Caenorhabditis elegans: one gene and its partner. The protein of the gene in region 1 interacts with the protein of each later gene in a pairwise test. Each region holds a gene or a part of one and is shown in the gene's direction. Other genes may lie near its edges.

The links. Proteins that work in one complex are often made in the same cells at the same time.
Region 2: the proteins of W04A8.1 (region 1) and cgt-2 interact in a two-hybrid assay, tested with the Caenorhabditis elegans proteins (one large-scale study listed by BioGRID).

The regions. Positions count from the first base shown.
Region 1 is NC_003279.8:13,834,810-13,842,001, reverse strand, and holds W04A8.1 (protein-serine/threonine phosphatase), read left to right. Parts: upstream 1-1,914; 5' UTR 1,915-2,009; coding exon 2,010-2,117; intron 2,118-2,200; coding exon 2,201-2,476; intron 2,477-2,746; coding exon 2,747-2,958; intron 2,959-3,006; coding exon 3,007-3,167; intron 3,168-3,217; coding exon 3,218-3,262; intron 3,263-4,423; coding exon 4,424-5,114; intron 5,115-5,163; coding exon 5,164-5,332; intron 5,333-6,037; coding exon 6,038-6,217; intron 6,218-6,413; coding exon 6,414-6,578; 3' UTR 6,579-6,675; downstream 6,676-7,192. Other genes in the region: W04A8.2 (Ovule protein), read right to left, coding at 1,095-1,174, 1,224-1,296.
Region 2 is NC_003284.9:17,693,470-17,701,267, forward strand, and holds the start of cgt-2 (Ceramide glucosyltransferase 2), read left to right. Parts: upstream 1-1,762; 5' UTR 1,763-1,850; intron 1,851-3,003; 5' UTR 3,004-3,005; coding exon 3,006-3,253; intron 3,254-3,769; exon of another isoform or gene 3,770-3,877; intron 3,878-4,509; coding exon 4,510-4,745; intron 4,746-4,790; coding exon 4,791-5,011; intron 5,012-5,236; coding exon 5,237-5,560; intron 5,561-6,227; coding exon 6,228-6,359; intron 6,360-7,784; coding exon 7,785-7,798.

The DNA.
Region 1 (7,192 bases):
ACAGATCCTCTCTCATCAAAATTCAAATCTCATCTCTCTTATATTTATCAATTATATCGACAGATCATTTTTTAATTAAGTTTATTCGAATAAATATCATCATCAATAACAATTTTTACAAAATTATACAATAATATCAATAACAGTTTGAAAATTTAAACAATACTATCAATAATAGAGTTACGCATAAAGTCTAGGGCAAATATTTGATCGAATTCGGCGTAGACGACACAATAGAGGCCACCCACAGGGGTCTCGGTCTTAAAGTTTAGACGAACGCAAACGTTTGTCTGCCGAACTAGTTCAAAGAGAGAATTATCTTGAGCCACAGGGCTCAACTCGAATCCAAAAATCGTATATCCTTTAGATCTAAGCATTCCAATGTCGATCGAATTGCAGCTAAAGTTGTTTCTAGTGTGACCAAGTGTTTCCTGAAGTTGTACGTAGGCCTCCACGAATTTGTTATTTTCAAAGTCTAGATTCATTGGTCGTCCTGGAACTGTTTGACCGCAAAAATCAATGTGAACGTCCTGCACACCATATGGTTTGAAATTGAACGGAGTTGTTCCGAATGATCCGTTGTAAGCTTCGCTTGAAACTAGACCAAGAAAGAGTGGCGGAAAACAAAGCAAGATAAATGGCCGCTGAAACTTGTCGGCCCCTCGGCCATGGCCTAGAAACCACTTTTCCTCGTCCCTCGTGAGGAAAAAGTTGCAGTGGAATTGGTCAATCCACTCGCTACGATTGTCCGAGGAAGAATCAAGTTTGCTGGTGGACATTCAGATGAACGTTATCCGCTTCGTCAAATGGCCAAAGTATATTCGTCTTTAGCGTCGCAGTAGAGTCAACGCCATCACTAGCCTCGTCGAGACTCTCCGAGCTCAATTGGTTCTCATCGCTCATGACGTCAACCCACTTGAGATCGTGCTCCACCTTCCAGTCCAATGTTGAAAGTACAACGTTCCATACGCCATCATCAAGGAAAAGGCTTTCCTCTGAGCAGTTGAAAGACCACAGCTGATGTTGCTCTGGTCGATGTCAACCCGTAAGTTTCGATTTGTTTCCGTTTGGATTGTCCTTCAATCCAGTCGTTTTCAGAGAAGACAAATCTGTTTGGATATCTTCCATTTTGGTCCGGTCTCTCGTTTCGTGGTACTCTCCGAATGCTGATTGTCTGAAAATTTAAAGTTTATGGAAAAAATTCTTTTTAGCAATTTATTTACCTATGAAGATTTTGCAGATGATAGTGCCACGTTTTCCGGGGTGACACCACACCCTCGTTTGATTGGAGAGCATTTCTGGAAATAAATGATGAAGTTTTTTGAAAAGATTGAAAAGACCAAACATAATAAAAAAAATCAACGGTTAAAACAGAAAATTTTTGTTTAACTTCCATCATTTTTAATGCAGAAAAACAAAGTAAAACTCTTAAAAATTATTTTAAATTGAATTTCACTCAAAAGTACCGTCACAACACAGTATTTCGTGTATTTTACAAATAAAAAGTGTACTTTTCAAGTAAAATCAGTAAAAAATTACGTGAAAAGAGAAAATTTCGTCAAAACGCAGTGGTAGACAAAAAAAGAGTATAAATATTGTCGTTTGTAGTCCAAGTCTCAACCAGTGTATTATTAATGAACGTTTTCTTAAATTTTAGACACAAAATCACAAGTTCAAGTAATTTTGTAGATTTCTTATAGTTAGAATCAAAAATTTAAAGTTTTCTAAGATCCGGTGATTTTCAACGAAAATTCAGAAAATTTACTAAATTTTCAGATTTATTGGGTGAAAATTTAACTTTTAAAACTAAAAAAAACCTGAAAAAAGCGCTGTAAAACGCAAAACCGAGCTCCTACAGTCTACAAACTACAAAAGTGAATGCGCGTCAGGTGTGGCGCTTTGTACGCAAACACCAAATCTGACGACAATCTGAAAAAACAAATTTTTCCACCGCGAATTTCGAATTAGAAACCGATTTTCCTCGATTTTTCTCATTTTTTTCCCGAAAAATGTCGATTGCGTATGGTTTCGACCCGAATATTTCGCCAATTTATGATGATGACGATGACGAGCACCGCCATTCCACCCATTTCAGCTCGGCGGACACTCCGAAAAAGGTTTTTTCGATTTTTTTTCTTTCATTTTTCAAATAAAAATTTTCTAAATAAGAAAATAAAGTGAATTTTCAATTTTTTCGCAGACCGGACGCCCGAGTAATCGAACAATGGGCACTTCAATTCAAATCAGTGGGGATTTCAGTGATCTCAGCAGTTTTCGCCCGGAAAACTCGGTGATCTCTGAAATTGTTCTGGATTCCGGCGATGAAGAGGAGGTTCCAGATTCTCGAGAAGATGTTTTAGCATGTGATGATGATGAAGAAGTACCTGAATCTGTTGGATATCTGGCTGGAACTGTCATTGTGCTCTCCGCCGGGTGCTGCCTGCCTATTCGACATCATTTGTCGAAAAAATTAATTGTTAGTGGGGGGAAATTCAAATTTTTCATCAAATTTTGTTGAAAATTGTGTAAATCTCGCGGAAAACTGCTGAAAAATGCCTAAAAATGATTTAAAATCAGCTTACCGTACGGCAAAATTAAAGGTACATAGCAAAATTCAAGTGGTGGGTCTCGACGCGAAAGTTTATTTTTAACAGAAATATTCGAATTTTTAGGTTTTTCGACAATTTTCTTCAATTTTTACTCACTTTTTCCTTAAGAAACCGAGAGAGAGAGGAGATTTTTTCAGGAAATGGGTGCAGAAATTCAAAAAACAATCGATAACCGGACCACCCATATTGTCGTAGACCGTTATGCCGACGAAAAGCTTGTCGGAGAGGCAATGTCCAGAAAACCGGAGCCTCCGATGATGGTAGACGTGAAATGGATTCAGGAATGTCTGGATAATCGACAAAAATGCAAAGAAAACGATTTTTCCATGATTGGGCTGAGATATTTAAAGTATCGATTTTTTTCAAAAAAATTTGGTATAAATTGCCAAATTTTCAGACAATCGTGCCGCCGGCTCTCAAGCTTCCGGGAACCTACTCCATTAGGCGATGAGGAGGAAACTTTTTGGGAGGATATGGAAAATGATGCTCCAACTGACCCTGCAAAGCTTTTGGAGCAAATTCGGAAGCTCTCGGAGAGGCTTGATGCTTTAATGGATTGTAAACCCCGTAAAATGAGGATTTTCAGTCAATGTATTTAATGTTTTCAGACGTTCCCGTCATCAGATTCGAATATCATTCTCCGGATTGCCCTAGTACGATTTTTTTTTGTAAAAAAATCCGAACAAATCGCTAAAAAGACGATAAATAGTGCAACAAGCTCTTTTTTTGCTCAAAAATCCTCGCAAAATCGTAGAAAAATCTCAAAAAATAAGTGAAAATCCATGTTTTTTCAAAAAAACAATTTTGTTGAGGCTAGAATTATTGTAGTTTGTAGTCTGAGCCTCAACCACAACGTTTTCAGCCAATTTTTGGGTTTTTTTTGCAAAAATAAATCAAATGTTCTATTGAAAGCACTGAAATTGTGAAATTTTATTTTTTAAATTCAATTTTTGAGTAAAAAATGATTTGGTTGAGGCTCAGACTACAAACTACACTTTTTCTAGCCTCACCGAACTTTTGAGTGAGGCTAGAAATACTGTAGTTTGTAGTCTAAACCTCAATCAGAACGTTTTCGACCAAATTTTGAAGTTTTTTTGCAAGAATGAATAAAATGTTCTATTGAAACCACTGAAATTGTGAAATTTTATTGAAATTATTCTTTAAAATTCAATTTTTGACTACAAAGCTCAGACTACAAACTACACTTTCTCTAGCCAAACCAACTTTTGGGTGAGGCTAGATGAAAAAACGTTAAAACCCGGAAAATTTAGAATTTTTATTCAAAAACTCTAAAATTTTGACGGAAAATTTTGAAAAGAACAGATTTTCAAAAAATTTTTAGTCGAAAAATGAATTTTCCCTGCGAAAAATTAAATTTCGAAAATAAAAAAAAATTTCAAATTTTGAATTTTCTATCAGAAATTCTGCTTTAAAAATTGTAAATTTCATGAATTTTTTTTAAAATTCGAAATTTTATGCGAAAATTATATAAATTTGGAAAAATAATGATTAAAATTCGATTTTCAATTCGAAAAATGAAGTTTTCCGCATTTGGTTGAGGCTCACACTACAAACTACACTTTTTCTGGCCTCAACCAATTTTGGGTGAGGCTAGAAATAGTGTAGTTTGTAGTCTGAGCCTCACCCAATATTTTTTAGATGTATTTTCCAAATTTTCGGAGGCAAAATCGATATTTATTCAAAACCTGACTCCAATTTCTATTGAGAATGTTGAAAATCTTGAAGAATTTACGTATAAAATTTCGAATTTTTGAGTGAATTAAAAAAAAATGTTTTTTAAAAAAATTTTCCAGCTCGCCAGCAACCTCAACCACCAGCTCCTCCTGCAAAAAAAGCTTCTCAAAGGCCTAAAAACTCTAGAATCCCGTCTCCAGAAGCCCTACAACAGCTTTTCACATCGATTTCCACGTCTTCAACGCTCCGAAGGCGCCGTTCCTTTACAGGATTTGTTCTAGAGCACCGGGAGCCGGGAAATGCAGCGCTAGAGGTTCAAGAAGCGAATAATGATGTCAGAAACACGTGGAATCCGGAACTTGGCGCCAAAAAACCGAGAAAAACGCGAAAAGCGCCTCAAAAAACGGTGAACGACATGCGAAAAACAATGGCGGCGGATTTGACGACAATTCGTGACGTTTTGGCGAAAAATTCCGATTTAAATAGAGCGAGAACGCCGAAAAAATCGAAGAAACCAGCTAAAAATTCAAATTCCCGCCAGAAAATGATGCCCGTCCACGTGGATGACTCGGATATTCAATCAGCGTTAGCATCGTTGACAATAAGTGAAGCCCCCAGAGAATGTTCGGTGCAAATTCTGGTCCCGACACGCTCAAACGTGATTAATCAGCTTCAAAAGCGACACGAAGAGGATGATGATGACTTTATTTCTGATGTTTCAGCGTTTTTACAGCGAAAAACTATGAAAAAATCGAGAAATTTAGGTGAAAATTCGAAAAATGAAGTGATTTTCACCGGGTTTAGTAAAGAGTTGGGGATTTTTGCTCCGAAAAAAATCCGAATTTTTGAAAATTTCCAGCTCTCCAATCGAAAAGAAGCTGAAAACCATCGTTCGCCGGTTCAAAATGACGATTAGCACGGAAATTGATGAAGAACGGACGCTTTGTGTCGTTTCGAGACACGGAAAACGGACGCTTTTGGTGCTTCGGGCGATTTGTTGTGATGTACCCATAGTTCGACCGCAATGGGTATGAAATTTGACAGAGTTTAGGCGGAAATTTGAGAAAATTCGAAAAATCCCGAAAAAAATCTACAAAATTTCAAGCCTCAACCAAAAATTGATTTCAATTTTGGTTGAGGCTCACACTACAAACTACATGTTTTCTAGCCTCAACCAACTTTTGGGTGAGGCTAGATATATTGTAGTTTGTAGTGTGGGCCTCAACCAACCTTTAATTTGATTTTTTGTTGAGGCTAAAAATTTCGTAGTTTGTAGTGTGAGCCTCAACCAACTTTTAGGTGAGGCTAGAATTATTGTAGTTTGTAGTGTAAACCTCAACCACAACGTTTTCGACCATTTTTTGGAGGTTTTCGCAAAAATGAGTCAAATGTTCTATTTAAACCGCTGAAATTATGAAGAACTTTTGGGTGAGGCTAGAAATTATGTAGTTTGTAGTCTTAGTCTCAACCAACATTAATTTAAAATTTCTCGAATTTAGCGGAATTTTCAATTAAAACTTGAGATTTTTAAAAATGTTCATAATTTTAGCAATTTTCAACAATATGATCTGAAAAATACTTGAATTTTTTGAATATTGTATGTATTCTGAAATTGGTTTAAAAAACTCCTTGAAAACTCCAAACTACAATATTTCTAGCCTCAACCATTGGGTGAGGCTAGAAACATTATAGTTTGTAGTCTGAGCCTCAACCAATTTCCCAAAAATTTTCAGCTAGAAGAATCATTTGAAGACTCCCAACTCCTTCCCTCTTCCGACTACATTTATCAGGAATGGCTTCGAATCGAAAATTTGAAAATTTTCGCCAATTTCCATTTGAGAATGTGGATCGCGCCCGAATGTACTCCAGACTCTGCGGATTTGGCTTGGATGATCGAAAAATGCGGTGGAAAAGTACGGGAAATGGAGAAAAAAGTGTTTTTTTCCTGAAAAAACTCATTTTCCTCTCTGAAATCCTTGAAAATCCAACTTTTTCAAATTTTTTCATGAAAAATTTTCCTATTTTCTCACTGAAATGCATTAAATGTCCGATTTTTGAAGCTATTTTCTCCTGAAAAAGCTCTAAAGTTCAACTTTTTCCATTTTCCAGGTAACCCGCCACCTGCATCGTGCTGATCTCGTCATTGCACCTGAAAATTGGGAAATTCCAGCCGAAAACGATGTGGAATTCGAGCTTGCCACGCCGCTTTTCGTGATTGATTCGATTTCGATGGCTGAATTGCAGAATTTCCGAGAATATTCTGTGATAATTTGATTAATTTTGTATTTTTTATCGCATATGATGCTTTTTTTTTAATGATTTTTCAATTTGTACCATTTAAAAAAATTTTTCAACATTTTCCATCCGAAATTCCTGGTTTTTGGCTTATTTCCACTAAAATATCTCTGAAATTGTTTATTTTAACCCTAATAATCCTTATAAACAATGCAATAAGCCCCGGTGGCCTTGGAAAATGGCGGCCGCGGCCATCATTTTCCCCGGAGCCAGCCCGATGCACATTTTGCTCTTTTTAGTGCATTTTAGTTGGCTTTTCATCGATTTTCTTTTTTGTTTTGCTATAAAATTTAATAATTGAGCGAATTTCTTCTGGAAAAACTTGAGATTTTTACTCAAAATTATAAATTTTATGAGATTTTTGTCAGTTTCCACACTAATTTTCGTTAAAAAATGTCGAAAATGCTGTATTTTAATGTAAATTCCATGAAAAATGAGCCAAAATCCGCTGGTTGAGGCTCAGACTACAAACTACATCATTTTCCATCTCTTTGGTGAGGCTAGAAAATTTGTAGTTTGTAGTGAGAGCCTCAACCAACCGCTTTTAAAAGTTAAAATTTTCTGATTTTTGTTTCAAATTGGCCGTTAAAATT
Region 2 (7,798 bases), on another chromosome or scaffold:
GTAGCAAAATTAATGAGCAGGTGGATGATGAAAAAAGATGGAACAGCTAAAAGTTGGAGAAGGAAACACTGGATTAGCGATATAAAATTAACACAATGTTAACATAGAAAAAAGGCTTACTCAAGGAAAATAATGCCTTCAAAATTCACCATTATTGGAAAAAATTTCCCTGATTGTATATTTGAGCTTGAAATCGTAAATTGCAATTGCGTTCTCGACTTTTTTTGTGCGCTCCAATGAGAAATTATTTGGGTGCGACTTTGAAAAAAGTCATTGGGACGCAAATGGAATTTGCAATTTCAAGATCAAAAATAAAATGAGGGAAATTTTTTTCACATAGATATTCGAAGTCATGCACAAATTTGGAGTCATTTGAAGATAGTTCCTAGACTTCGGTTCTCCGCCTCTAATATGAAATATACTTGTTAGAATAAAAATAAATGATTTTACAAAAGCTAACATGCGCATCTTTTAACATTTATGTGAAAAAAATTGGAGTAAGTTTCAGTGTTTCACAACAATTGGAAACATGAATCACTCAGTGATAAATCAACTTGGTTCAGAGTGGTGTTTTCAAATGCAACATTTGCTTACGTAAAGGGTAGGCAACATTTTTGTACAAGAATCATGTCATACGACAATAATAAAAATTTTAGATTAGAAAATCTCATGAACTCAAAATACAAAAAAAGATACTTAGAAAAGCGACATAAAAACCAGAAAAAAAAATTTATGCATGAATTATTCAAAAAATGAATGACGGAATTTCAGTCATGCTATCAGCCATTTGGGTAACGTTTCCTTACAACAGATTGGAAAATCGGTGGACATCTCCATGTCTATTGTCTGCAATATGTGATTTGAAATAAAAACATATATGGGGCAATAGTAGTTATGTTTTTCAGCAGTTTAATATATATGTAAACTACCATGTTAGCAAATAACTTGAACCGAGAGAAAGAGAGAGGGATGGGAGGTTCATTACTGCAAAGACTGCACTGTTTATCAATCACTAGGAGTAAGCACCGAAATTGATCTCTAGCCCACAATGATTAAACAAAAAATTAGGACAGGATTTTCATGACAGCCTAAAAATAAAAAATGTAGGAAAAAGTTTAAAAACATTTTACAGATGGTTTCGGTTATTACGATTTAATTTCTATAATTGTAAAATTTCACACAGACTTTGCTTCAACTTAGAATTGGAAACATGCAAAAAGAGCGGCTATAATTTCAATTTAAATCGAAGCTCCAACGTTTTATCAGCACCTTTGTATCACTCCGCGATGCCATGCAGTCATTTACTCGTATTCAAAATTTGATGATTGTCAGCATAATTATTTGATGAATTTTTTCAGTTTTCACTTGCGTGTTTTTGTTATCAAAGTAGAAAAGAAGGGTAAAACGCGTTACAGATGCAATATTAGTTTATAGTACATTGCGCTCACGCGTTTTATCAGTGCCTAAATGGCAAGTGCGTCTCCGAGAATTTATAGTTAACAGTTGTGTCTTTTGTCTTGGTACTTAGTTTTCAATATATTTCTAACTATGTTTTGTCTTAGGCCTAGATTGACGATTTTTTTGTTTGCAACTTGAGATTAAGAAGAGAAAAAAGTTATGTTAAATTTCGTAAATAAATTTAAATAATGATAATCAAATTTTTGGTGAAGTGATTTTAAAGCCATCAAGTTAACTATTAAGTTATGGAAGCTCTATATGATTAAGTTTCATTTAAATGTTTCAGTAACTATTCAAATTTCAGATTATAACGACATTTGTGCATCTCTAGTTGTTTACAGTTTAGTAATTGGTGACAAAGTATCCTCAGTCGGATTTCACACTAAACAACGGTTAGTTTGCCATTTAAAAAAGTAGGATTTTCAAAAATATTTGTGCGTTATGGCAAAATTGAGCTTTTACAATAAAAATAAAAATACAAAGATCAAAACTATATAAAGTTTAAAATTGCTAGCATTTTTTATCAACCTGTAAAATAATAATAAATAGGCGAAAACATTTTTATTGAAACTGAATTACTTTTTTTTATTTTTTAAATTATTCCTCCATGCTTATTGACCATGTTAGTACAGTAGGAATTATTTTATACAATTCTGCTATGGGCGCCACCCCACATTTATTTTATTTCTCCATAAGTTTTAAACACCAAATATATGTTTAAAAACTGCCAAAACATTCAATTTCATTTGGTTGTTTGAATTGAGTTTTTTTTTCAATGTTGTCAGCTTTATCATTTTAGACTCAACAAAAAACTTTGAAAAAGAGGTTATCAGCGCTTGTTCTGATTGGCATAACACAATTAGCACAAACTGATTTTCATATTTTTTCAGTGTAGTTTTAATGTTCTGGGTTTGAATACCAATCATTTTTTCGTTTCTTCTAAATATTAACTTTTTGCAACAGGATTTTTAGAAAATATTTAAAATTTGAAGAATTAGTTACATATGACAAGCAGAATTATCACTTTTTTTAAGTGAACACGTTTTTTTTTTCATTTTCAGGAAGTTAATTTGTTAAATTGTCAGACATTTTCTCGCTAAAAACTGAGAACTTTCAATTTTTAGGCAAACTCACTTTTCACTTTTTTGTGTACTTTTCTGACCAGGTTCAATTTTTGCTATGAAAATGAGAATACAGCATTTTTCATATATTGTTTTTAAAAATAATTGTTGAGTTTTTCAAATAGTCCCAAATCACCAGATATTTTTGCAAATGTTTTTTTGAACATTTTATATGATCAGTCAAAAAGGTATAAATTTGGAAGTCGATAGAAAACCTTTTTCTATGCACTTATGGCACATTAATTTTTTGGATCTGAACATCAAAAAATGTTAAACCATTTTATGAGAAATTTTTGTCCAATTTTGGAGATCTTTTTTAAATTTAAAAACATCTCAATTTTGAAACATTGTTTTATTTCTTTTAGTTCTTTGTGTTTTTTTTTCAATTCGTATTTGACATTTTAAAAAATCCACAATATTGCAGTAATGGGCGATAAAATAACCGGTTTGGAGGTTGAGATTATTCCGGAAATTTCAGAAGTTCAACCTGAATCTCTTCAAGAACAGAACGCCTCGTCGTTATATTACCCACTTTTCTCGCAATATATACCTCTTTTATTAACTGGAACAAAGAAAATATTAGAGGACATCGATTATTGCACATGTTTTGCGGTTTTCGGTGTGGTTTTTGTGAGTGCATTGTACTTTTTGCACATTGTTGGTTTATGCTATGGGTGAGTTTTTTGAGTCTTCAAAATGAAAATCGAGCCAGACATTAAAAAGTTAATAAAAAATTTTCATAGAATTCTGTAACCAAAATAGAATCTCGCAGCTGCCTAATTATGAAAATATACTTTCTGCAGCAATTTTTATAATTAGGCTTTTTGTAAAGTCTATGAAAAGATTTGGAAATAGTTTCCTACTGAACCTCACATGAGCTCATTTTTCATTTTTATAAGTTTTTTTTTTAACTTTCAGAAAATAAATTGTTTCAAATTGAAAAAATTATAAGATTTTTAAAAAGTTGAGGGAAATTACATATCGTAATTTTCTAATTCATTGTTGCTACAAAAAACTATTTAAAAAAAAACCATCACAAAAAATATGTTGACACTCGGGACCAGTAGAGGGGAGTCAGTCACCCTACCGAGTGACAAACAGCGTATTACAGATACGCGCGGAGAGACACGGAGCAAGGTTCGAGCGGCATTGGTGATAAGCGGTGCGGAGAGAATAACAGTACACAGTTTCAGATGAATTCCAGTTTATTCAGTGGATATAAATAGGAATTAAAGTGATTAACAGAATGGAAATGGTGCAGAAAGGTCCTGAATCACAGTGTCTGCGGATGGGTAGCCGCTGACTCGTCTGGAGAAAGTAGAACAGAATGAACGATTGGCCTAAAAGTAGGTTAGAATTATTGTGTGGATTTACGGAGCTATGACGCTTCGGAATAACGGGAGTTATCGGAGGAGCGCGCTTGCATCGGGAAATACGCAAATGGCGGTAATTCAAATGGGATGTATTATTAATAGATAATAAACGGAAAAGGACAACGGAGAGTGAATGTATTCGCGGATAATGAGTGGTGGCGAGTGGGTGAGCCTGACCGGTCATATATCTGCAAAGTTGGGACGCAGGGAAAGCGTTAGGCCCAAATCACAACAAAATACACTTTTGGCTTTTTTCGAATTATAAGCAAGTCGGACGACAACAAATATGAAACGATATTCACAAGATTTTGTGAGTCAAAAGTTTTTTTTTTAACTATGGAAACACGAAATATCGGCTTCAAAAAACCGATGCAATCCCCAATAAAATATACAGTTAAATTTTGTTAAATTTTTTAAACAAATTTTCCAGGGTTATAGAATTGTTATCTTAAATAAATACTATTTTAAACATCTAACATTTTCTTTTCACAAGTTCTTGCTCGGATTTTCGAATACTGTTTACACTAGCTGTTTTTTTCTAAAAGAACCTGTTCCAGAAAGTATCGACTCCACCGTCCAACCAAACCCAACCCTTCACTACCCGGAGTCTCAATTATCAAGCCAATTATAGGAGCCGACGCTAATTTATACACAAATTTAGAAACATTTTTTACAACGCAGTATCACAAATTTGAACTTCTATTTTGCTTTGACAGATCAGATGATCCAGCAGTGAAGGTAGTGGAGAGCTTAGTCAAGAAATATCCCTCAGTTGATTCAACTATGTTTTTTGGTTAGTTCTATCCGAAAGAACGAAATTTTCAACAAATAATTCCAGGTGGCGAAAAAATTGGCCTGAACCCAAAAATCAACAACATGATGCCAGCTTATAGAATAGCCAAGTACCAACTTATAATGATTAGTGATAGTGGAATATTTATGAAATCTGACGCAGTTTTGGATATGGCAAGTACAATGATGAGCCATGAGACAATGGCGTTAGTGACGCAAACTCCGTATTGCAAGGACAGAAAAGGGTTTGCTTCGGTTTTTGAGCAAGTGAGTTGTATTGAATGGTCAAAACAAACAAAAACTCTAGCAAGTCAAAAAATTGCGCGCCAATCCAAATTTTGAAGCGTCTTACGCTAATTTTTATCGTTGTTAACGTACTTGCCTGTTTTAATATCGCCTTGAGTATTTCAGTATGGGCTACACTTGTTAGTAATCTCCCCACATCGACTACTTCTTCTTTAACATTGATACATATAGACTAAATAGTTTTAGATATATTTCGGAACCTCTCATGCCAGAATTTATCTAGCCGGAAACTGCCTCCAATTCAACTGCCCAACCGGAATGTCATCGATGATGAAAAAGGAAGCATTGGATGAATGTGGCGGCTTTGCTGCGTTCAGTGGATATCTTGCCGAGGATTACTTCTTCGGGAAGAAACTGGCGTCTCGAGGATACAAATCAGGAATTTCTACACATCCAGCGCTACAAAATTCTGCTGCGGTAACCATGACGTCATTCACGGATAGAGTCTGTCGATGGGTGAAGCTTAGAATGGCAATGATGCCTCAAATTATTTTTGTGGAGCCGCTGCAAGTGAGTCTTCATAGTAAAAAGTATTATATTGGGGGAGGTGGAGAATAAGCTCCAGGAATCTTTGTTATCATTACGCTATTTTATGTGACAATAGATTAAAAAAATTTTCATACCATCAAGGCCTTAACTCGGAGCCATTTTTTGAGGCATCTGTCCGATCGCGCTTCTTTTCCGCTGAGTTGAATAAATTGGTTTTGTTTAATTTAAAATGAAGTATGTGGATTTATTGAAAACTTAAAAAAAACCAGACTAGTTTAAAAACAACATTTTATTGATCGTTAAAAAAATATTAAATTGTTTTTATTTATAATAAATTCAAATTTCGGAATGTCAAAAAAAAGTTCCTTACTATTACTATGACTCCTATCTATGACTCCTATCCTTACTATGACTGTTTTGCATTATTTCTGCATGCAAAATCATATATTCATATATGAACATTTTTTAACAACCAACAAACAACTTTTAAAATTTTCACCTTTTTTAAGCTTCTGTCAAATGAAAGCACATAAATGATACTATAGATTCCTACAATTTGAGAACAATCTACCTGGTGAAAAAAATTATGAATTTTGGCCCGGAACATATTAACCCTAATTGTTCTTGCAGCCGCAAATTTGAGAAAAGAAGTGTTCAAGTGAAAATATAACAGTTCAACAAATTTCAGGATTGCTTCCCTTCTGCACTCATAATTTCCTTCAGTCTCAACTACATTGCTAATATTGATATGCTTACAACAATCATGCTTCACGTAGTGTTTTGGATTACTATGGATTGTATGGTCATGTGCAAAATGCAGGTATGAAAATGTTTATTGAAAAAATTATTCACAACTGCAGTTGAATGTGATTCACCGGTAAAAGTATACATTTGTTGACAAGATAGAGATTTTTCCGTTACACTTTTCAATATGTGTGGAAAAGTGTATTTTTGAACTACAGCCATAAGATGCGTGGGCGGTTGCAAATGTTCAATTTGAGGGTAGAAGTGACATACACAGGTAATGCGGGAACAGTCCAATGGCGGCTCAAAAACCGCGGACAGCTGTTTCGCTAAACGGCATATGAGTTACTTTTGTGTTGAGCTTGTTTTTGTTATTGTTTTACTCTGTTCTTAGCCTGAGAGTATTTTAAGAACTAACAATGACAAAAACTGTGTTCCAAACAAATAGGTCGTGAGCCGGCCGAAAAACAGTATTTGAAAGCCAATTTTTTGTCTTGAAATTTGGTATTTGGTTGACTTTTTTCTCAAACCATTTGACAAAACAAGAACATTGAAACTATTCTATTTGTGTATTTTCGTTTTGTAGTTACTTTATTTTTTAATTGTTTGGTTTTTTTTCAGCCAATAAAAAAACGGTTATAGTTTTTCAAAGAAAGCCATACAACAGTTCAAAGTGAATTTCAATTTCAAGAAAATCAATCAATAAAAAATATAATGATTTTTTAAATAGAACTGTTCTGTTTAAAAACTTTCAATGTTTTTGGGTTAAACAATTTTCTGAAAAAAACTTTCGAGGTAATCCAAATATCAGACTTTGAGAAAAAGGTGGAAACACTTGAAATCTACAGTAAATAACTTGATTTTGAAAAACTAAATGAAAGTAGTAAGTTTACATAAATTCTCATAAAAATTTTCTAGAATAAACAAAAACTGAAAATGTCTCATTTTTTGTGGTCCACTTTTTTTGGAATAGCTCAATTGGGTTAAGATTCGTTTTTTTTTGCTCTAAACATACAAAACGTGATTGCGTTAGATATTAACGTCACATCGATAACAGCTATTGTTAAAAATCAATAAAAAAAATCTCCAGAGTTTTTCGATTTTTTCAGAACAAATTAGCAAAAAAGCTGGCCGAAATAGTTGAAACTCATAGACTATATATATATACTACTGACTGTATATACTGACTGCCTACTATAAGTCTTCAAAATAAAATTTTGGAAAAAAAACATAAATTGACGATATACTTCAAAACTTATTTGCCGACCTAATAACACGTAACACTGCCGAACAACCGCCATTGGACCGCATCGGGCTGTCGTCGGCTGAAAATAGCCCCCACCGGAGGCTCGGTTTTTGAAGTTTAGTTGGGCGCCAGATAGCCGCATCCGGCCCGCCGTTTGACCATTCCCGCTTTACATGTGTTCCTTTGTGATTAAAATATATTATTTTTTGTAGTTTCAGTGTTTTCTCAATAAAAAAAAACGGTATTTCATTTCAGAACAAGAAAATGAG